Drosophila melanogaster: one gene and its partners. The protein of the gene in region 1 purifies or fractionates together with the protein of each later gene. This does not show direct contact. Each region holds a gene or a part of one and is shown on either strand. Other genes may lie near its edges.

Region 1 (7,533 bases):
ATCTAATCTTTGCAGTAGCATGTACATACATAATTACGATTTCTTAAACTGTTTTTTGGAATTATTATTATCCAAATAGATACCTGCATCTACAGCATTGTGTTTTCCTTAAATTTCAGATCATAACATCAACAGTCAGGTGTGGTGCCAAATCGCCTACTGGGAGATGGCCCACCGCGTCGGGGAGTTCTTTCACGCCAAAACGAATGCAGTCAATATCTACACGGATGGGATTGTGGCCAGTGAGGTGGACAGCATGTGCCTACGTGACCTCACACCAGCAGGCAATCAGATCCACTCGGTGGTGCCAAAAGCGCGTCATACGGTCGGATTGGGTAAGAGAAAAGGATTTACTAACGTGAAAAGATATATTAATCGGAGTCCGGTCCGCCTCACAGGGGTCACATTGAGTCTGGAGAACGGCGATGTTTGGATCTACAATCGTGGGAATACAACCATTTTTGTCGATTCACCCACCCTGTCCGAAAATCTGGACCGAGTGTGCAAAGTGATGCCGGGCTATTGTCTGAAGGCCTTTGAAACCAATAGGTAAGATCCGTCAATAAAGTTAACCAGTTGTCAAAGCCTCTTATGATGTATATTTATTCCTTTTCGCAGGGCTGAACTTCTGAGCATGAGAGATCACGGACATCATCCCATGGGACCCGTCGACTACTTCAGCATTAAGATCAGCTTTGGCAAGGGCTGGGGACGCGACTACAAAAGACAGGATATCATGGGCTGCCCCTGCTGGCTGGAGGTTCACTTTAGTCATCTGCGGTGACAGTACCTGATGCTGGCCCGTTCGGCAGGACCTCATTCGGCATCCCAGCACCTGGTTGAGCCGGGCATGGGATGCGCCTGCGATCAGGTGAGCAGCTGGCGATCGCGCCAACTGCTGCAGAAGGCGCAGAAGCTGCTGACCAGGCTGTGCAGGCAGGTGTGCGCACTGACGGATTATCGTCCGGCGAGGACGAGATGGCGTTGTCTGGCGGGCAGGAGATCGAGCCGCCAGTTAAACACTAAACAACCAATAATTTGGAACAACAAAGGACTGCAAAAGAAATCATTTTAAATGTTAATATACATAATTACGAAACAAGTTTCAATTACTGCTAGTAGACACATCGAAATTAATTTTAACGCATCTGAGTCGCATTAAGAGAGAGAGAGAGCAAAGAGAGAGAGAGAGAGAGAGAAAGCGGTGACGAGAAGTCGTAGCGAGTCGAGCCGAAATACATAGTAATTGATTGTTAAAAATACTTAGCAAAAATTGAAATCCTGTGATTCACTCTATATATATACACATGTAGGACGTACCGATGCAAGGGGCTAGAGCTCCATTGCCAGTAGCTATATGATATGTATAAATATTTAATCTAACATACATACTTAACAGAAGGCACATCAGGGTTAATAGTTTTGAGAATGGCGAAAAGTCTAGTTACGATGCAATACATTCAAAAAGCCACTACATTTTCTATGCGACGTTTTTAGAAGAAACCCAAGCCCATAATTTATACCCCACCCAAATGAAACCAAACATCACTGAAATACAAATCTGTTCAGTAGAATCTGCATAGATCCTAGGCTAACAAAAAAACACCATTAACAAATTCAATACGGTTTTAGATTCTAGCGCATTAGGATCCAATCGGCTTTAGAAAGCACACGTCATGTTCGAACATTATTTGTTTTATGTTGATATTTTGACTGTTTTCGTTGTCATTATTACGTACATTCATTGTTTAAATTAAAAAATCTGTCATTTGTCAAGTGTATAAAAAGATATCACAACACGATACTTACATGAGCTGAATACCATAGAATAATTTTATTTAAATCTGTAATCACTTTATGTCCATTGACGAAGCACCAACTTCGTTTGCATTTCCAACAGTAGCAAATGCGAATTCGAGGAACTGGTGCTCTATTTGAAATCCGTGCGCTAGATGATCTTTAACCCCTTACCAAACCAAACTGCATGTAGGCCATCCTAGAATCCCAGCCTTGTATGTATTTCGTTCTAAGAATAAATGCGATCCACGTTAAACATTTACAATATGTTCATCTTCTTTGAGGGAATACAGTGAAATACCCAGTAGAAGGGAACACAATTGCGATTCTGAAATGGATGCAGCCATCCTTCCAAAGTAATAAAAAGTTATATTAGTTTTTCAGAGACATTACACCTTTCTATATTATAGTGTACTATCTACAGATTTAATTATTAAAACTAAGGCAGAATTTATTCAATCACATAGTCCTCATCAAAATCGTATTTTTCTGCCTTGGACGAGGATGGACCTAAGCTAAAGCTATCCAGAACGTCTGTAATTTTGGATATTTTCTTCTCGTTGCGAACATTCTGTTTCTTTTTTAGCTTTTGCATCTGCTTTATGCCTTTATTCAGTGATTGGTTTTCTAGAATTTATAAATAACACAGCGTTAATACATTTTTATGTTCCATGGTAATGGTTTTGATTTGCTTACCTTCTAGGAGTAGACTGGGATCAACCTTCTCCTTTTCCTCATCCAGTTTTCGTTTGCGACCCTTTGCGGGCTTTTCCTTCTCGTCTATTACCAAACTGGCAGTTATTTTATCTGCAGGTTCGGCTTCCTCACGCGGCTGTCGAATCTCTAAAGGCCCCGTAGACGTTATCTCCATAATGTCATCCGTTTTCACGGCGCAATGCTCTAAGATTTCCGTCTCCATGGACTCAAAGTTCTCCACATCAAATTCGCGAGCCTCTGAGTGTACTATCGAGGCACTTATATGCACACTTTGCCCTTCCTGAACTTCCGGAGGCTGTGTGCAGTATTTAATTTTGCCCGTGTTCCAATCGTTGAGAACGCTTCTTGCTGCAGCCACAACATCTGGCACTCCCTTCTTTAGAAATTTGCCTATAATTAAGGTAAAGAAATGGATTATTATCATGTACAGCAGTAAGCATTCATAGTACTCACCCATTCTGGCTGCCTTTTTGGCGAAGAATTCCTCAAATGTGTCGTAGTTTGTAATATCGTACATCGTACAGAAGTATTCCTTGCTGGCACGCTTCAATACGCTCTCGGCAATGGTGAAAGGATCCTTTACATCGCCCACACGCTGTGCATTCTTCAGAACTGCATGCGAGTTTTCACCTCCGCTGGTAAATACGATTCCAGGACAATCGATCAGTTTGATTTTCGAATCCAGTTCTACTTCTTGCATTGATCTGCAAAAATAAATATATATCGTATAAGTTCGAGGTACTATAAAGGATAAATATGAACTTACTTGGTCACTCCTGGCGTGCTGCCCACCATGCAGGACCGGCCGCGGGTCAACGAGTTTATGATGGAGCTCTTGCCTACATTAGGAATTCCAACGACGCCAACGCGAATCGAGGTCTTGATGCCCTTGTTGCGGCAGTAGTTGCCCAGCATGGACATAAGCAACTCAGCGCCAATGCAGACAGAACCCTGCATAGCCTTCTCGGTTTTCATTTCGCGGAGTTTGCGGCGTCCCAGCCGGTTGGCCTGATCCTGTGTGGAAGCCTTGAAGGCGGTGACAGGTCCGCTGCGACGGAAGTACTTGATCCAGTTGTTCAGATTCTCTCGCGGCACCAGGTCGGCTTTGTTGAGCACCAGGACCAGTCGCTTGTTGCCCGGAGCACCGCGAACGGCGCGCTCAACCTCATTGCAGCGGGTTCCCAGGGGGTCACGTGCATCAACCACCTCCAGGACAACGTCGGCATTTTCTATCACCTTGCGGAATTCCTTGAAGTACTGCTTCAATGACTGCTCTTTGGTCACGGCGTTCTTGTACTTCTTTTCGTCCTGATCCTGGGCATCGTTTTCGTGCATTATTCCGTGCACGGTGCTCCGCATGTCTGCATCCTCGACCATGGACTCCAGCGTCTTGAACTTGTTCTGTTCGCGTTCCGCCTTAAAGGCTTCGCGGCGAGCCAAACGTTCGGCCTCCTGACGTTGCTTGGCCTCCTCCACCTCCTTGAGGATGTCATCCTTGAAGGGACAGATGTTTGGGATCTGGATGAGCTTCTGTTTCTTGCTACCCTTCTTTGGATTCTTCTTGGCTGCGCGACGTTCCTTTTTGTTGTGGTCCCGCACCTTCTTTTCGATCTTGTGCTTCAAGCGACCGGTGAGCCTCTTGGATTTCTTGGCTGTGGATTTTGACAATAGATGTAGAGCTTCATTTAATGTATATACATATATACTATTACTTACTCTTCAACCTTTTTAAAGCCATTTTACACGAGGATAACCGGAATCAAAACCAACTTAAAACAAGAACACGTGAAAATAGTCTTCTTCTTGACTTTTTGTCAGTCACCACGAAGCGTGGCCACTTGTTGTGGCGTGCTAGCCAACACTGCCAGTGTTGCCAGACTGGCAGTGTGATGTAATTTGGTTTTTGTGAACCCTCTGCGAAGTAAATTAATAATGTCACTGAAAAGTGTATTTCTAAGTGCTCTTCGGAGTATTACTATGCCCGCTGTGCCGCTCCAGACTTCTAGGATACACACGAGCGCTTGCTGGCGGAAGGCGGAGGACCGCAAGGAAATGCTGGCATCTTTACCGGCCAAAGACGAAGGAACCGTGGGCGAAAAGACCGTGGACATCGACACACTTATCAACCGGTTGGAATTCAATTTTACATTTGTAAATAGTCTTGAATTCAATTAATTTTCCATTTAGCAAGGCTAAGTTTTTCCCGGATGCCAGCACCGCCAACACGTTATTCAATGGAATACCCTTCAACGAGCTGCCCATCTGCAACATTCGCGTTTCACCCAACAACACAATTATTTCCGTCACGGATCACAAAGGTGGGTCATCTGGAACGTTACTCTAACTGTGATCTAAAGTATCCCTCTTTCCAGGAGTCCTCCGGCTGATACGATCCTGTGGAATTGAGGGATTCAAAAACACTCGCAAGGGAACCAACATAGCAGCTCAAGCTACAGCGGTTACCATTAGTGGAGTAAGTCATTTCCACAAGAAACAGGTTTTACCAAAGTAGGATGGTCAAAAACTACATAGAACATCGAGATAATCTCCATTATAGTTGTATACCATATATGCATTTGAATAGTATAATATGGGCATAGAATCATTTAAAACAAAAAACTTAAATTGTATTTCAGAAAGCCATTGAATTGGGCTGGAAGACAGTGCGAGTAAAGGTTCGTGGTCTTGGCCCTGGAAGAATGGTATGTTCAATACTTTTTGTCTCTCATGTCACTTAAAAATAATTAAATGTTTTGATTCAGTCGGCCATCAAAGGACTGCAAATGGGTGGGCTGAACATCGTTTCCATTACCGACAACACACATGTTTCCTTCAATCCTCCAAGACCCCGAAAGCAGAGAAGTCTTTAATGTGCAACTTGTTAAGACAACTTGTTTAAAAGCAAAATACACAAATAGTCGTTTACAAACAAATACGAAAACAACAGTTTATCTTTCTAATGGAATAAATAGCACTGTCACGGTGAGTTTTATTAGGAAGATATTTGAATATGGCCTTTTTGTTGCCACGGCCAAAGGTTTGCACAAGATTAATAGCAAAAAGATTAAATAACTTTGTAAAATATGTTTGTTTTATTTTTCTTAAATTATTTGCTTTCTTTTCTTAAAACCTATTTTGGATGCGCATAATTCCTCTTCTTATCCTACGTTAAAAAAAGTACAATACGCAATCTATCAGTTTGGATACCTACAAAATACGTAAAATACGAACTTTCCTCCCACTAATCAACTATTAACCCTAATCAATCTTTTTAAAATGGGCTGACGAGCGCCAGTTATGTTATGGATGCCATAAAAACGGTTTGACTAATTATCACCTAGCGAACACACTAGTAAGTAATATTACAATGGAATGCTGCTTCTCAACATGGAATTCTAGGGGATACGATCAGGCTTTGTACAATGAATGATGTTTTTGGTTGAGGCTAAGCGTGAGGCTCGGATTCGTATTGTCATGTGGCTGCGCTCGTGAGTTTTCGCAGGCGACCTTCGATGTGATGGTGAAAAACTTTCGCTGCTGTGCTAAATAAACATTCTTTTTGTGCTTTTTTTAATTTATGCCGCATATCATTAGCATTTCTCTCATCATCTGTGAAAGACGCTGGTGGAGTTCTTCGAAATCTTTCCTGCATTCTGGACCAAGGACAGTTTGGATTGACTAGCTCCTCGGATCTAATGGCGGGAATTTGAAAACTATGGTGTTCTGCAGGAATATATGGTTTTATATCCATTTCCGAGTCACAATTGTTGCAGCCGCTCATTCCGTATGAAGTATGAAACTGCATATTGGACGCCGTCCCAGGATAATGTGGACTCCCACTGCCGTACGTGTTTTGTGGTGTATGAGCATTCCTTTCCCCGTTGTTACTTCCATCCGGGTGTGGGGCGTCACTATCTTCGTAGTCCATAAACGTGGTGGAACACGCCGGCTGATAAATAACCGCCGACGCATGACCCGATCTTCCCGATTTTAGTGGTGTTCCTGTTGTCCACGTATTTGTTCGTGGATCGTAGACCTCGACTATGGACAGAAAGTTGTTGCCATCGAATCCACCAATGGCGTACAGTTTTTCGTCCAGCGGAGTCAGCGAGAGAGCACTGCGTGCGATTTGAATTGGCGCAACCATGTCCCAGGTATCGTTTTCGGTATCATAACGCTCCACGGTGGCTAGTTGACGGGTGCCATCGAAGCCACCAACAACGTAGATGTACTGGTTAATTGCAGCAACACCTGATAGCAATTAAATCGGAACTTAGTTGGAAATTAGATAACAGGATGCGCCAGTCATTCTTACCCGCTCCACTGCGACCCGTTTGTAGTGGTGGCAAAAAACTCCACTCATTGTTCTCCGGATGGTAGCACTCCACGCTGGCCAAGCGCTCGTTTCCATCGAAACCTCCGATGGCATAAAGCAGACGGTTGACCACCACAACACCCACTCCCAAGCGCTTGGCATGCATCGGCTGTACAAGAGTCCAGCGATCCAAATCGGGGTCATAGCTGCAAGAGATTTAAATAAATAGGGTTTGCTAAACTATGTCGATAGAATAAACAACCAGAAAGGCTTTGTCAAATTAATTAAACTATTATCTATTGAAATGATGAACACTACTTACTATTCCACCGTGTTGTGGTACTCCATGCCGGCGGACCCGCCTACGGCGTACATCAGCTCGTCCATCACGGCCACGCCCACTCGATGGCGTGGCACGGACATGGGAGCGCACGGACGCCATGTTTCGGTGACTGCACTATAGCGATCCACCCAATCCGAGTCGTAGGAAGATCCAATGTTGTTATTTCTGCCTCCAACCGCATAGAACTTGCCCTTGAGAAAGGCGGCACCCAAACCAGATCTTGGAATGCGTAGATTTGCCAGTGTCGTCCACGTCATGTCGTCTACATTGTAGGCCTCCAGAATGTCCAGTGAGTGACGAAAAAAGCCACCGGCGACAAATATCATCCTTGTGGTGTTGGGGGTTCGTTCCTTGACTCCTG
Region 2 (7,014 bases), 5.3 Mb from region 1:
GTGAACTGGCCCAAAGCATTTTGGACACCTGCTACAAACTCTTTGATACAGCCGCCATGGAACAGGCTGCCTAACTTGGCCATCAAAAAGTTTTGAAAGCAGCCTATAGAGTTTTAAGAGATTTAAAATATTAAAACTGTATTTAAAATACACTAAGCATATTTCTTGTTACGGAAAAACGAACAATTTTTTACTGAAATATTTCCGAATTAATATATGATATATATGATTAAATACAAGATTACTTCATACTTTACATCAATTCTCATACAAACGTTAACGCTGTGTCCTTAAACATTTTCTTATAATTGTATAAACTAATAATAGACTCGAGAGTTAGGTATTTGCTAGAAATAAGACAACAGTTCTAGGAATTATTTTTTAAATATCTATCGCCCTCGAAGCCATTGTATTCCAGGTATACATATATGGATTTACTTCATTTATACTACTTTCTTTTGTTTATTTGTTTTTCTCCTACTGCATATTTGTATTGCAAACCACACACACATTGGATCCAATATTATTTCTCAAATATATACATACATATGTACTTAATAATGATGAATTGAAAAGCATTTCTCAATATTCCGGGCATTGTGCGGCCTCCGCAGCCACGGACTCATTAGGTAAACCAATCCAAAACGGCAATAGCCACATAACAGATACGAACCTATTCTTTCCTTCTGTAATTGCACTTGATTTGCTGCGCAAACGCTTCCGAGTAGTGACCACCTCATTAGCCGATCACCAAGTAGCCGCATTCGCAATTCTATCGAAGCCACATATTTAAAACAGCTTTTTGTGAAACCAAAATAAAAACGAAAACTGAAACCCCGAATAACATTATTATTGCATTTGTTTTTTTCCAGACAATATGATGCCTCCCATTCCCGCCGTCACGGGCAATAATCTGCTCCAGCCCATGTCGGTGACCAATAATAACAATAATACCAACGGAGGCGCAGTCCCCGCCGCTGCCAGTGTCCAGTCTACCGCTGTGGGCGCCACCTGGTCGGGCGACCTGAAGGGCGGCAAGATGAACATTGACCTGGACAATCTGCTGATGAGCAAGTCGGGCAAGCCCAGTGCCCCGGCCCCTTCGATGAATGCCCTGAAGACCAACAGTCCGGCAAAGGCGCCACTGAATGTGCAGACGGGTGGCGGATTCCCTGGACTGTCGCCAATGACCAGTCCGAACATTTTTGGGGCTCCGGCACCGCAGCAAAGCATTCCACAAAACCAATCAGCATTTGCCAACTTTGGAGCTTTCCAGCAGCAGCAGCAGAATCACAGCAATAATAACAATAATAGCTCGTCGGCATTCGACTTGTTTCAATGATATTTTTTAGCCTAATTTAACCCAACCAACCTACTACCCAAAATGTCCACTCTCACATTCACATTTCCACGATCGCTAAACTTGTCAGTTCTATATATTATTTACGTTTTCCTTTCCCCTTGCTGTACAAAGTTTGCGACACGTGCAATTTGTTTCTAAATTCGTTGTTAAACAATTTACCCCCGATGCAATTTTCCGGATCAAACCCATTAATTCCACATCCGTCCTGATCGTCCACTCGGAATTTGAAAGTCGTCATCAAATGCAATACACAGAGTAGTTGAATAATGGTTGTACTAAACGGATTCGTTAGCACAACGCGCGGACGGACGGCTGAGCGATCCAACATTGAAATTGTTAAACAAAATACTACACGTAATAAAATCAAACAATTTTAGCAATAGTTAACGTTACGATGTGTCTGTATATAAATTGAATGTAAAGCAAATATGAAATATAAAACAATTGAAACCAATAATTATGATAGTCTCTTGATTTAAAACGCAAACTCATAAAATTCCGGTGGGAATACCCTCCAAAGTATATGTTTATTATTATTTGAAATGCGATCCATCAGGGGGTCAAAGGAAATACAAAAGAAGCATGTAAGTAAAAGATAATAGTGTGGACTTAAACTAAGTTGAATGTAACAGAGACATTTACGCCTCCACCGCTTCCTTGTTTTTGTTCTTCTTTTTCTTCTTCTTCTTTGGCTCTCCATCATCGTTGCCATTGCCATTTTCCGCCTCGGCGGCTGCTCCGTTTCCATTACTGGCGCCATTCGTCTCGCCCTCGTCTTCAGCCGCTCGCTTCTTCTTTTTCTTCTTTTTCTCGGACTGTACAGTGATTGCCGCCTCTTGACCAGCTGCCTCGATGGCCTCCTTCATTACCTCAATGTTCTTGCGCGGCACATCGCCGGACTCGTAGAACTTGAGGCGATCTTCGACCTGTTGCTTAAGAGTTTCGCCAAACACGCTAGTCGGCTGTTCCAGGAAGCAATCGATACGCGACGCGATGGAGCACTTGTTGGCCAGGAATCGAGAGATGCGACCCTTGTTCTTCAGGCCAGCTCGACCAATGAACGAGGAGTGATAGATAAGACCATACTTGGGCGTATTGGAGCGGGTCTTTAGAGCACGGAAGAGCGCCTTCTCGGCACCCAGGATTTGTACTGTAGATGCTGGGTACTTGGCCAGATTAGTCAAGCTGCCGGCATGCGATATCAGGCGGGCACCGACCTGGTCGCCAATCAAAGACTGCAGATTGGGTGCCACCAAGTTCATCTTGTTGTGCAAGTAGGTAGACAGTTTCTTTCGGTACTCGGAAAGCTTGACAACGCGCTCTGCGAACAGCTCAATGTTCATCAGATCAACAATGGAGATGTCCATGCCCATGGACATCTTGGCGGCATCAATGATAGCCTGAGCCTTGGCGGAGTCCATGACGATCTTCTCAAGATCCTCCAGCTGGTCTTGCGTGAGGTTCTTGCGATCCTTGATGAACTTGGCCGCCTTGGCGAACATGTAATTGTCGGGAACGATTTTGACCAGTTCTGGGAAGTGATACGAGTACCACTCGCGTATCCGCATAGAGAAGGTATTTACGTCCTTATCCAACTGATCCAGCAAAGCAATCGACTGGATGATCATGTTGTCGGAACGATGAACATTGAACTTGACCTTGGCACGCGAGTAGCTGTGGCCCAGACCCAGCTGAGCAACGCCAGCGGACTTGTCGGTGAATCCTGCATCGGATGGAGGAGGCTTTAGTTAGACAAAGAGGATTTTCCTTGCAAAGCAGGTAGCTTACCCTTGACCAGCTTAGCGAAGTGGAATCGCACGCCGCGCAGAATCTCAGGAACCACTCCAAAGTGACTGCACTGGACGCCAATGGCCTCGGTGATTGCAGCTCCCAGCTTGGCATCCGCAATACCCAGGGTGCACTTCTTCTTCTTCAGCTTGGCAAAGAAGTCATCCAAGAAGGAGAGCAGATCCTGCGGCACTATGCCCTCGGATATGGCATTGATGTTTTCCAGTGCGGCAATGGCCGTCTTGAAAGGTGCAAATCCAGCCAGCTTAACAATTGAGTTGAACTTGGCGAGGTCCGTCACCGAGGACTCCACCTGGGGCAGGAACATGGACACCTCTTCGAACTCCTTGACGGAGAAGAGCGAGAAGCCCGCCGCATGCTCGTACAGCACATACAGGTTCGACTGGAGGCGGGGAAATGAAAAATTATCAGTCTGATGCGGTGGCAGACACATGTGGTTTTGGGTGCTCCGCGTGTGTAGGTTAGTTTTCGCAGGGAAAACATTTTCATTTCACGGGCAACCCGCAGAAAATTCAAATATATGATTATTGCACTGAAATATTTACCATGTCTATGCCGAATATATGCCGATTTAATTAAGAAATATATATTTTTATACACCCACGATGCTGCTACAGTTGTTTTCCCACGTGCTTACTTCAAGTGTGACCATAGCAAGCCGATTGCGAAATGTTAGGGACATACCAGATAAAATACCGCAGTACCGTACTGAATTATTTTAACAGGCTGGCCACGTTGATAGCCTGATAACCTGTCGCGTTGTCCCTCTCGCACTTTCATCAACTGTCTCTGTGTGTGAAAGCAATTTTATTTTTATTTATAACAAATTTTTTGCGTTTATAAACACAACAGAATTAACTAGTTGGCTCGGCACACTTCCTGGAACCGCTCGCATCAGCTGTTGGGCTACGGCACTAGTTAACAGACCGACCAACTGGAGGCCAGATACAGATACCATCATTGTCATTTCCCAATTGACCAGAGAAAGAAACCTGCTGCGAATTCCAGTCACTTTTCTTTAATTATTATTCGGCGCTAATTGTGTAAAAATCGGCGGAATAAAGCTGCTGACACGACACAGAAGAGCCGAAAAAGCGGTGTGGCACTCGCCGGAAAAGTCTACGCATAGGAAAATTCCATTGGAGGCTCAGTGAAAGGCGAAGCACAGCAATTGCATGCCATGGACTTCTTGTTGTAAGTTCTCAGGGGGGCAAAACGTAGTGCAACTGCAATCCTTTCGAGCACAAAGAAAGCTTGGATCACCCCGCCCCACATCTGACTTTCCGGCTTTGTTTGCCCTTTTTGGGGTGATATCCCCAACCTCTTGTACAGTGGAACTTCCCTAATTTTGTCTGCGGTGTTTAAAAAATAGCTTTTCAAAGATATCTTGCATTCTTCCTCAGTGAATTTAAAAAAAGAAAAAAAAAGGAAATATTTCTTTTAGGGAGTGTAAATTGAACGAAGTCGCTTACGTTTCAATCTATAGAATCTTTACTGTATTATGTTTTACTGAGTGGGGCTGTTTGGGGCCGCGACTTATTGCCTTTCTCTTTCCACAGCGGTTCCCGTTCCAGCAAGACCTTCAAGCCCAAGAAGAACATCCCGGAAGGCACACACCAATATGATCTCATGAAGCATGCGGCAGCCACGCTGGGATCGGGAAACCTGCGCAATGCAGTGGCCCTTCCAGATGGCGAGGATCTCAACGAGTGGGTGGCCGTTAACAGTGAGTCTAGTATAGTGTAACTAGCGAAAGATAACCAATTCTTATTGCCACTCCTTCGCAGCCGTGGACTTTTTCAACCAGATCAACATGCTGTACGGCACCATCACCGAGTTCTGCACCGAGGAGACCTGTGGCATCATGTCGGCTGGTCCGAAATACGAGTACCACTGGGCCGACGGTTTGACCGTAAAGAAGCCCATCAAGTGCAGCGCGCCCAAGTATATTGACTATCTGATGACTTGGGTGCAGGATCAGCTGGACGACGAGACCCTGTTTCCCTCCAAGATCGGCGTGCCGTTTCCAAAGAACTTTCACTCCTCCGCCAAGACCATACTGAAGCGTCTGTTCCGCGTGTATGCGCACATCTACCACCAGCACTTCACAGAGGTGGTGACGCTTGGCGAGGAGGCCCATCTCAACACGTCCTTCAAGCACTTCATCTTCTTCGTGCAGGAGTTCAATCTGATTGAGCGGCGCGAACTGGCCCCGCTGCAGGAGCTCATCGACAAGCTGACGGCTAAGGATGAGCGGCAGATATAGGAATCACTGCATGGAGCCGCGAATTTTCGCGATTCCGGCGGCGGTGGTGGTGGTCTGCGCTTGCAGTTGGACTTGTGATGAAAGCGCTCTGGCAGACTCGTGTATTACGCTTTAGTTAGTTACCGCCAATACTTTTATGTTTCGTTCATTGCTTCATGGGGTGCCTCCCACTAAACAAAAGAAAACAAAAAACCGCCAATTGGCAATGTGAACCGAACTATAGCGGGCTAATTGCTGATCCAGAGCAACTACTATATTTTTATATGTGAAACGTAAAAACGTATAAATCATATTTATATGTATATGTAAAGGAGAAAACAAAAGCAGCAAAAGCAACAGCACGCCTTTTATAACTAACACCTCCCGCTTTCGAGAAACAACAAATATTACGTTCACAAACTATGCGTGTTTCCTTGTTTATCGTTTTTCTTTCTGTATGTATTCTATGTATTTATTACTATTAAACTATCGCTAATTGCTCGCGGTTCAGCGGATCAAGCGATTTTGTAATGCAAACCCCAGCAATTTGAGGCGACGGTCGGCAGCACCCAATAACTGATAATAATTGTAGACTTGATAAACATTTTTGATACGTTTTATACTAATAAAGAGAATATTATGAATAAACTCGTCTCTTTTTTGTTTGGTTTATCGTGTATTGACACTTTATTAAGCAAAAAAAAAAAGATAACATTGATGATTAACACAACGAAAATAACCTTTTTTAAAAAGGTTTAACGTAATGACTTATAATATATACAAATATGGTTAAGTGGGGAATTAGGGAGTATTTGTAGTACCCTTCCATAAAATATGACAACTGATATGCGCCTTTGTGCATTTGCGCATTGTAAATGTTTTCGACTAATCTATAACATTCGGCTAATCGCCTTGTTATCACTGCCGCCACACTAACCCCAATCACTTGAGCTTGCTTTTGTATTTGTCTTGTTCCACATAGAAATCGGCGTTCTCCTCGACCAACTGCTTCCACTTCACAGACAGCTCCATATAGCTTAATCCCTGACCACCGAGTTCCTTTGGCAACTGATCGCAGCTCACGGATGTTCCTTCACGACGCACGAAAAGTCGCGATCTTATCTTGGGCGTCATGAATATTCTAAAAAAAATGATAATATATAGTAAATTCTAATTTGACTTAGAACATACAACCCACCTAAAGGTGTTCAAAAAGAAGTTCACATGGCGCGGGGCGTTGGTGAATTCCAATAGCTTGGGCTGACATGGATATGCGGTCCAGCTTTCCACGGATCTCTTGATGAGCTTCGGATTCATTTGAAGAGCGTGCCCCAGTTGAACGCCCTGCATATCCAGAATAGCCACCATTCCGCGGGCACAGGTCTCCGGATCGAGCTTTAGCAGCAGGTCCAATATCATTTTGCTGGTCTGGGAAACAAAGGTTGGAGATATAAGTATATGGAGGAAAAAATGTGGACGAAACTTATCGTATTTCATATTATTAAAATGTTAAGTTATTTTTTATTAAAGCACGAAAAGTTCGCCTTCATGACTATGTTTAATTTGTTAGCTACATATAGTTTAAGACATTTCATAA
Region 3 (8,655 bases), on another chromosome or scaffold:
TGCGTGTGTTTGCGAGCAATGCTGGCGTTGTGTGCGTGCGAAAATTCACTCGACGAGAAATCACAATTCGACGACACTTGTTTCAATATTCCACCAGCATTCTGCGTGCTTCCTTGCCAGTATCGGGTCGATCTCAAATCTTAAATATAAACAAGTTGTACATTGACTTTATGGGACAAGAGGAGAGGGCTGCTCTGCTCGCTGCGACCGAGGGGCGAGACACAGACACACACGCAGGCAGGGCGATGTCAGACACACACACACACACGCGCGAAGGAACAAAAAGAGACGCGCCCATAGTGTGTATACATCGTCGATACACAAGGGTGCACGAATGAAGCGGCGCGTACTCCTTTGGACTGTGTTTACCACCTTATTATGCACAGCTGCAGCACTTCAAAATTATCTGTAATCCGCTTCTGCTTCCTTTGTATTCTACTACAAAAACAAATTACGCGACGACCGGACGTCTACACGTCCAAAGCAATCGACTTTTTTCTTCGAATGACGCGTTGCTCGGCGAGTTTGTGGGAACTCGACGGAGACTCGAGTAATCGCTAGCGCGTTTTTCTGCTGGGCTGTGCGGTCACACTGTGCAACGACCTTTTCGGCTCAATAAATATACCATTTACTCGTTGAGTGAATCGGTATTCCCGTTACTCGTAGCGTAAGCGGGTATACTAACCGATTCGAGACTTTTGAATGACTAACCGAAACAAAGAGGTTTTCGAACGTATCTGCATCCTAGTATAATCGGTGACGAGTGAGTCTTCTTGCCGAAAATATCTCATTTGTAGCGCTTGCATTCCATATTGCCGGTGTGAAACCTATCACCCAATTCTGCTCTGGTTTCGTTGCATTTGGTGAGGGCATGAATAAAATAATTTGTTTTTAAGTGACGCTTAGAAGCATTCCTCGCTAAATTGCGCAATTGTCTGAGCGTCCCAAATTAGAAAATGCATGATAAGCTGCCTTCAGACATAGTAATTTAATAGCACACATGCCCACATGTTGAGATCTCAAGGCGTAGATTAAATTTTCCGACCGGACAGCCGCAGCCTGGTTCTGCGTGAGTTCAACAATCTCTAAATTGGTCGTTGCAATGTAAATTGTGCTGCAGGCCACTGCGATCGGTCCCTTTCCCCTGGCGCAAGCCACATTTTTTTGATTGACTTGAATTGGCTCTTGGATATGATCGTCCGCTCAAAATGCTTGGCTGCTATGTGGACGAACAGCTCGCGTTTGGTTTTCCATCTCATTTCACTTGCGTCCACCATTTCTGTTGGGATTTATCTATTTATCTCAATCAATAAGTGCACTGCAAGACAACTATTTTTGTTACACCCATATGGTTTTGTCTCTGTGGACATCGGATATTTCTATTAATGTACAAATTCTGTGACACTAAACTATGATGATCCGAGAAAACGGCATTCGTCGAATCCTTTCCGGGGTTTCCATGCGGATTTTAGAGAAACATATTCCATAAGCACCTCTTGGAAATGACCCTTTACAAGTACTGAGAAAAATCTGGAGACACATGTTCGGAAATAAAATTTGGGCCTATTCTGAGCACCCCTCAACTGCAGAATTAGTGAGCAGAAGTTGTTAAGCGTATGGGTGATCCTGCCCCATGCTCATGTGGCATCTGGCATGTGGCTTCTACCACTGGGTTAATCGACAGCGACTAAGAGAGTGCGAACTGGTCCAGGGGGAATCGAAATAAAACCATATGCGCCCTGAAAGTATTTTTGGAACACACGAACCCAACGAAATGGGAGGATTCGTTGGTTCGGTTGATTTCATGTCATTCCTGCTGCATTTTTGGTGGCTGTCGCCACACCCAAGTCTAAAAAGTGTAGTTCATCGTTTATTGTGTATTATTTTAAAAACACTCTACATCCAGTAAACAAATATGGGGAGTGTTTCATTGGAGGAAGGCGATTTGTCAGAACATTACCCATGCGCTGAACGTCGGTCCCAATGCTTCTGTGGATTGATAAAAAAAAAAAATGATACAATCAGTCGCGGCAATACTGTCCTACGCAATTTCGATTATGTTCATTTATTTATATTAAAAGTAGCAAGGAACCAGTCAATTACGTGACTATCTGCGGGAAGCGGCAGCAGTGCGATATTGTAATTGATGCAGGCACGGAGCTGTTGAAAGCAGATCTATAAACACAGAACGAGATGAATAAGTGGTGGCAGCTGTTTCTTTTTTCTGTTCGTGGGCGCAGGCAAGAAGGCACACAGGATGTGCGTGTCATCAGACAGGCGCGCCCGAATCCGAACCGGAGCCTACCCTCACTTGACCTGCGCAGGGTAAACACACCCTGTGGCACATCTCTCGGCACGCACATACTTCGCCGTGTTCTATTTGGGTCACGTGTGAAAGGAGGACTTAGTTCCGAAATCAAGGGCGCAAAACTAAAAAGCATGTCTCACTTTTGACTTTACAATTGAATGGTGTGCTACTAGAACATTGTCCGTTTTGGTAGGGAGGAGTTAAATGAAAGATATGGTGTAACTGTACTAACCTGCGTAAAAACTCCTACTTCCTTCTTTTCGAGCCCCCAGTTGATTGAGCTTTGGGGCGCTGCGTTTTCCGCATGCTGCGCTTGCGGTTTTCGCTTTTCCTCTCTGCGTTCTCTTCGTTGCGCTTTTTAATGAACTCCAGTCGCATGCGAGACTTGACAATTTGCTCGGGGCGGCGCATCTCCTTGTCGTTTCCGGTCAGTCGCTTCTTAAGTTCTAGCTTTAAGTTGTGCCGCGCATGACGACTGACTGGGTAGCGCTGGGCATGGCTCAACGGCTTGGCGTTTTCGTCATCACTACCTGCATTTTCGCGCTGCAGCTGGTCCTCGATCTTAGACTTCTCCTTCCACTCAGCATAACGACCTGTTTTAAAGGAGGCAGGAATCCACGCACCGGACTCGGTCCGAATTTTGTTGGCTCGCGGATCTTGTACAGAGACCATTTTTTTCTTAATTCGGTCCCACTTCTTAAGGCCGGGCTTGTGCTTCACTTCCTGGGATAAGTCGCGGTCCGACACCGAAAACTCGGCGTTCTGCGCCTGCCGCTCAAAGTTGTTAATGGCCAGACCATCCTCTGTGTGCTTGTCTGCCGACTGGTACGGCACATAGTGATCCTCGTCCTTGCTGTTTATCTTCCGCTTTTTCTTCTTTGGCTTGTCCTTGTAAAGGGCGTCCATGTTCTGGAGCCTCTTGGGCGCAACGACTTTATTGAAAGTACTACTAATAGCTTCCTCGTCGGCGGTGGGCATTCTGCCTGAGCTTGGGTTGAGCGCCTCGATCGTTTTCTTTTCCTCGTCTATGTCCTCTTCTGCGCGCTGCTGCCTAAACTTGTTGATTACTTCCGCATGCTGCATTCGTTTTTCCTTCATAACGATAAACTGCGTGGACTTTTGAGTGGTGTTGAGTTCAAAAACGGTCTGAAAAGGGCACAATTACTAATACGTGAGCGAGCATTTATCGTAAAACTGTTGAGAAACTCACACCACCAGGACGGAAACTACGCATCTTCACCAGTATATCGTGCTTTTCCTCCTGCAACTTGCGCTCTGCGGCGCTCACCTTTGCCTGCGACTCTGTTGATTGTCCACTAGCTTCAGCCGCCTGGGCGAGCACAGGGGCAGCTGTGAAGAAATCCTCCAATGGCTTGAGAGCAAAGAATTTAATTTTCTTTACACGCGCGTTGGCATCCGTGGAGGCTACTGGTCGGGAACTCAAGTATTTTTTGTAGGCGTTTTCGCTGGTGCGCAATACTCCGGCCTGCAGAAATACATGTACAATTACGTATCATTAGAAACCATAAAATGCAGTACACTCCATTTGAAACTTACAATATGGTGACTTTTCTTTATATCGGTCACTGTGAGGTGCTCTTCCTCGAGCAAATCTTGCGGAATGGTTCCCAATGCCGAGCTGTCGTGTATATTAAAGGGTCTGTTCAAGAACAAGTGCAGATCCAGTAGATGTGCTGTGTCGTCTGTGGATACAATAGAGTATGCGGTTCCTGTGCGACCAGCGCGAGCGCAACGACCTACCCGGTGGACAAACAGTTTCGGTTTACCCGGGAAGTGCAGGTTCACCACAAAGTCTAGACTGGGAATGTCAATACCACGCGCGGCCACGTCCGTGACTATTAGCACGGACACCTTTTTGTTCACAAATTTGGCGGTGTTTATTTTGCGTGCAGCTGGATCCAGGCTGGAGTAGACTGAGGCGTTGGAGATTCCAGCCTCAGTAAGTATGTACGAAATGAGTTCGACATGGTGCTGAGTACCGGCGAACACCACGGTTTGCGACTGCACCGGAATAACGTACTTAAGAAGAACCACAAGTGCTGTGTAGCGGTCGTCTGGTCGACAGTACAGAAACTTTAGAGCCAGCGCATCCGGGAGCTTGGATTCGACGTCTAAACGAATGAGCACTGGGTCGTTCAGTCCGGCACGGGCGAACTCTACTAGCAGTTTTGGCAGCGTGGCTGAAAACATGACCGTCTGCCGGGACGATGGCAATCTGTGCAACGTTTCGTTCAGTTGCTCGCCGAAGCCCATCTCGAAGAGTCGATCGGCTTCATCAAACACCACGTACTCTAGAGAGCAAATAAATTAATTCCTGCTTTTATGGTCCGCAACTATCAACTCACCTATGGAATTTAGCTTCAAGTCCATTTCTACGCACAAATGAAGAAAACGACCTGGCGTTGCAACAATTACGTCCGGACAGGTATGTATGGCCGAGAACTGTGAGTCCATGGAGTCGCCACCTAGCACCAGAATGCTCTTCAGTTCCATAAAGCGGCCCAGCTCCTTTATGAACTTATACGTCTGCACAGCCAGTTCGCGCGTCGGAGACAGGATCAGGGCACGGGCCCCCTTTGTGGGCTCGCGCCTCTGTAGCTTTTCAAAGAGCGGAATCAGAAAGCAGGCCGTCTTGCCAGAGCCCGTCTTGGCCATTGCCACCACATCGCGTCCCTCCAGGATCAGCGGAATCGTTTTCCGCTGTATGGGGGTGGGAACCTTGTAACCCCGCTTGGTGATGCCCTTTATCAGCTCGAAGCCCAGGCCCATCGACTGGAATCCACCACTCTTGTTCTTCTTGGACTTGGACTTGAGAATGTCGGCGCCCCGGTCGCTGGTGCCGGCATCGTTGTCCAGTGATGGAAAGCCTGGTATTTCATCCGCCTGCTTCTTACGCTGCCAATGCAAAGTATGTATTGAAAGCTAAGCAACAAGAGACAATCCTCTTACCATATTTTTTTTGTTTTGAATAAAAACAACACGTGCAAAATCGATGACTATTCCACACTATCGATAACTCCATAAATTATCCAACACTGATTTCTTAAAAATTGACTAACGCTACAATATACCGCATTGTAATTGGCGCTTAGATTTTCATTTGATTAACTCGCGTTTTATTATTTTAATATTTACTATTTTGAGTAGACCATCTTTTAAATCGACCATATATACACTGCCGATTAAAATTAGAGGATAGCTTACATATGCCCAAAGGGAAAAAACCTCATAAGACCTCGACCAAACGGGAAAATAACAGATATAAAAGACTGGTGCGATTTAATAGCTATGTAAATGTATTAAATAAATGCTACATCTTGTGCAGATTATGGATTGAAAATGAATTTTTTAAACGATATATTTCTATCGACATCCGAATTGGTTTAAAGCTCTCATAGCATTCAAGTTATTAAGGTTTCGATAAGAAATGGTATGAAATCGTCATTAAACTGGGTGCTTTACAAATGCACTTATCGGCTGAATATCCTAAATATACCTTATCGAACTTACGCTAAACTTATCTTTGCATTAACTAAACGTCCTCTCCAAAATCCAAGTCCGCCTCCGACTCTTGAACCAGCACCATCTGCTCCAGGCGGTCAATGCGCCTCAGCATTTCCTCCTTTTCCCGCTGAAAGGAGTCGGCCCGCCGCCGCAGGTCTTCGTTTTGACGCCGCAACTCGTGAAGCTGGCGACAGATCTCAGAAGAAGTTAGCAGCGGCATCACGTTCGGAGATTTCGGCGACTGCTTCGTCGCATTGACGATTGTCTTGCCAGGTGCCGCCCCGTTGTTTACTGCGCCTTGGCCGGATCCTGCCGAGAGTGAAGGTCGCAGCTGTATCGTCTGGACGGTGCCCACTTGTCCCCTAAGCGAACTGCCCGACGCGGGATGGCCTGAAGGCAGTGGGGATGGGACCGCGGCTTCGTTCTGGCTGTGTGATTCTTCTAGCGCAGTGAGATCCTGCGGCCTTTGCAGGGAGGGGAGCTTTAACTAATTAAGCGGGGTTCAAGTAAAGTAAGGAGGTGAGCTCAGAAACTATTTAATATTCACCTGTCGAGCCTGCAACTGGCGCATGTTGACTAGCTTTGTGCCATCGGGAAGATGCCGCACCATTCCAGAGCTGTCGATAAGGCAAGATCTTATATATATCTCCCAAATATGTGAAATTAACGTACCTTGCCAATGAGGCGGGTATTTTCTGAAGGGACTTTGCCGTGCTGTCCGATCCGTAGAGTTTCTTAAAATCAGTCAACGAGATAATGCGTATATTCTGCCCTCAAATATTAATTATTATACGAATTAGCGAAACAAAACAATGAAATGCATACCTTGTTCTTGGCAACTCCCGCCGGTGACGGAAGATCCTTCTGCTTCAGGACATTCATCCGAATCTTGGGATGAGAATTATTAACATTTGTGCGGAGCGCTGCGACCGAAGGCCGGGCGTTTCCGTTCGTGGATTGCTTGCCGCTGATGCCCGATTTTGTTTCGTGCAGCAGCATGCGTCCTCCTTCAGAGAGGACAAGTTGGCGTCCATTCTGCAACGCAGTGTTCAGCATTTCTTTCGAGTCCTCGTCATCGTTGTCCTGCACCATGTCTGCGATTTCGTGCGTCTTTAGTATGTAAAGCGCAGTGTTCCGCAGGACGTTTGCATCTGGCAGGGAAAATAGGTTTTTCGTTAAATATTCGTTTAATATCTCCGAATCTAGTAACTTACGGCCTCGCATGTTTTCTAGGACATCCATTCGTTCTTCAACCGACATTTCTTTGTCGTCCACGGTTTTAATTACTTCCGGTTCGTCCATTATTGAGCTGACAGCTTCATTGGTTTCCTTCTGCAAATCGATGGGGAATAAATATGATATGATTTTTCTTTCTGCGAATCAATTGGGAATAAAGTATTTGTCACAATTTTTTAGGATCAGGAATGTAGGCCAAAGTTGGGAATGTTCTTGCTATTATTTGTGACAACCTAATACAAGTTGTCGAAAGTACATACTTTGGTCTTATGTGCTTGTTGCTGAAGTTTGATAAGCGCAGCGTGGGAAAAGGCAGCGATCAATTGTATTGTTAAGAATAAGGAACAGCCAAGCGAAACGTAAGTAAAACCTCATATTAAGTAGTAAATATGGCCTTCAGTGGATTTCTTCAAGCGCACTCACCTCCGATTCCTCGTGTAACTTCTTACTGGCCTGCGCCTGTCGTGCCGCTTCCAACTCCGCCAGCACATCCGCTTGTTCCGTGTACACGGCAAGTCCGATCGGCGTCTTGCCGAATTTGGAGACCAAGGTGACATCTGCCTGGCACTTGAGTAGCAGGCGCACAATTCCCTTGTGTTTTTTCTCGACCGCCCAGTGCAGCGGGGTCATGCGAAGCTGACAGGAATGTTGGTTAGTCATTTTAAACAGTCATTTATTTATATATTCTTACCATGTCGCGGGAGTTGACGCTGCACTTTAGCGCTAGCAGCAAGCTGACTATCCGCTCGTGACCGTAGTAGCAGGCTAGGTGGAGCGGCGTTCGGTCTACCTTGGTCTTGCCATCCATGTTAATGCCCCCCTGCAGGAGGATTTCGCAAATCTCCAGCTGATTGTTCATGGCGGCAAAGTGAAGTGCCGACATACCTAGCCAGTCGGAAGCGAAGGGAGCTCCATGCGCTAGCGCCGCCTTGACCCCAGCTACATCGCTGTCTCTGGCGCACTGGAGCAGCTGTTTGCCCAGGTCAACGCATGTGGCCGGACCCACCAGGATCCCCTTCTTTTGCTGGACATCCCCTTCGGTGCGCTATGAAGGAGTCGCCTCGGTTAGTGTGAATTACAAGCAAGGTACCGCGAGTCTTACGATCTCGTAGTGCATCAGGTTGGAGTTCTCCATGGGGTAGACGTGACCATCCGCTCGGAGAGTAGCAACGACTTTGCTGGCGCCGAGACTGTGCATTTTAGCAGAAGAACACTTTCAGGGACGAGTGAAGGCCTATAATTGGCATTACTTCAATAAGTTTATTAAGCAAAGGCTAAGAATGGCTTTAATTATGAATGTTTACGTTTTTAGATCTCTGCGGTGTGACCAGACATAGAAAAGGGCTTATACTCACCTATCAGATAAAATTGTTTTTGAAATAGCTTTCGTCATATAGCATCAATAGCATTAGTTTCTTCAATCGTCTAAAATCATGTTAAACTTAAATCATTTTCTGCGTTGCCGTTTTTTACATTTAAATTTAAATCACAGCTAAATCCTGTAAGACATTACTTGATCAAAGTAATAATACGAAGGATAAGGCAATCGAAGCTGAATTTATTGGTATATACCAAAAAGGAAGAAT

Evidence for each region. Proteins that work in one complex are often made in the same cells at the same time.
Region 2: the proteins of Ns1 (region 1) and Nop56 purify together in Drosophila melanogaster (affinity purification with mass spectrometry, with the first as the bait; one large-scale study listed by BioGRID). This does not show direct contact.
Region 3: the proteins of Ns1 (region 1) and CG32344 purify together in Drosophila melanogaster (affinity purification with mass spectrometry, with the first as the bait; one large-scale study listed by BioGRID). This does not show direct contact.

The regions. Positions count from the first base shown.
Region 1 is NT_033777.3:17,068,352-17,075,884, forward strand, and holds Ns1 (nucleostemin 1), read right to left. Parts: upstream 4,325-7,533; 5' UTR 4,253-4,324; coding exon 4,231-4,252; intron 4,167-4,230; coding exon 3,281-4,166; intron 3,219-3,280; coding exon 2,968-3,218; intron 2,905-2,967; coding exon 2,494-2,904; intron 2,425-2,493; coding exon 2,249-2,424; 3' UTR 2,172-2,248; downstream 1-2,171. Other genes in the region: Dad (daughters against dpp), read left to right, coding at 120-335, 399-549, 619-784; mRpS11 (mitochondrial ribosomal protein S11), read left to right, coding at 4,447-4,643, 4,702-4,832, 4,887-4,987, 5,151-5,216, 5,277-5,384; Keap1, read right to left, coding at 5,987-6,765, 6,830-7,035, 7,152-7,533. UniProt on the Drosophila melanogaster protein: May play a role in regulating cellular proliferation.
Region 2 is NT_033777.3:22,417,237-22,424,250, forward strand, and holds Nop56 (Nop56), read right to left. Parts: upstream 3,833-7,014; 5' UTR 3,721-3,832; coding exon 3,718-3,720; intron 3,555-3,717; coding exon 3,152-3,554; intron 3,087-3,151; coding exon 2,002-3,086; 3' UTR 1,859-2,001; downstream 1-1,858. Other genes in the region: lqfR (liquid facets-Related), read left to right, coding at 1-74; mats (mob as tumor suppressor), read left to right, coding at 4,353-4,366, 4,732-4,898, 4,960-5,438; pinta (prolonged depolarization afterpotential (PDA) is not apparent), read right to left, coding at 6,360-6,558, 6,616-6,845.
Region 3 is NT_037436.4:319,375-328,029, forward strand, and holds CG32344 (uncharacterized protein), read right to left. Parts: upstream 5,347-8,655; 5' UTR 5,282-5,346; coding exon 5,279-5,281; intron 5,225-5,278; coding exon 4,675-5,224; intron 4,621-4,674; coding exon 3,866-4,620; intron 3,795-3,865; coding exon 3,519-3,794; intron 3,455-3,518; coding exon 2,555-3,454; 3' UTR 2,541-2,554; intron 1,990-2,540; 3' UTR 1,859-1,989; downstream 1-1,858. Other genes in the region: Atac3 (Ada2a-containing complex component 3), read right to left, coding at 5,862-6,320, 6,381-6,450, 6,506-6,600, 6,659-6,984, 7,048-7,165, 7,330-7,350, 7,493-7,705, 7,761-8,114 and 1 more.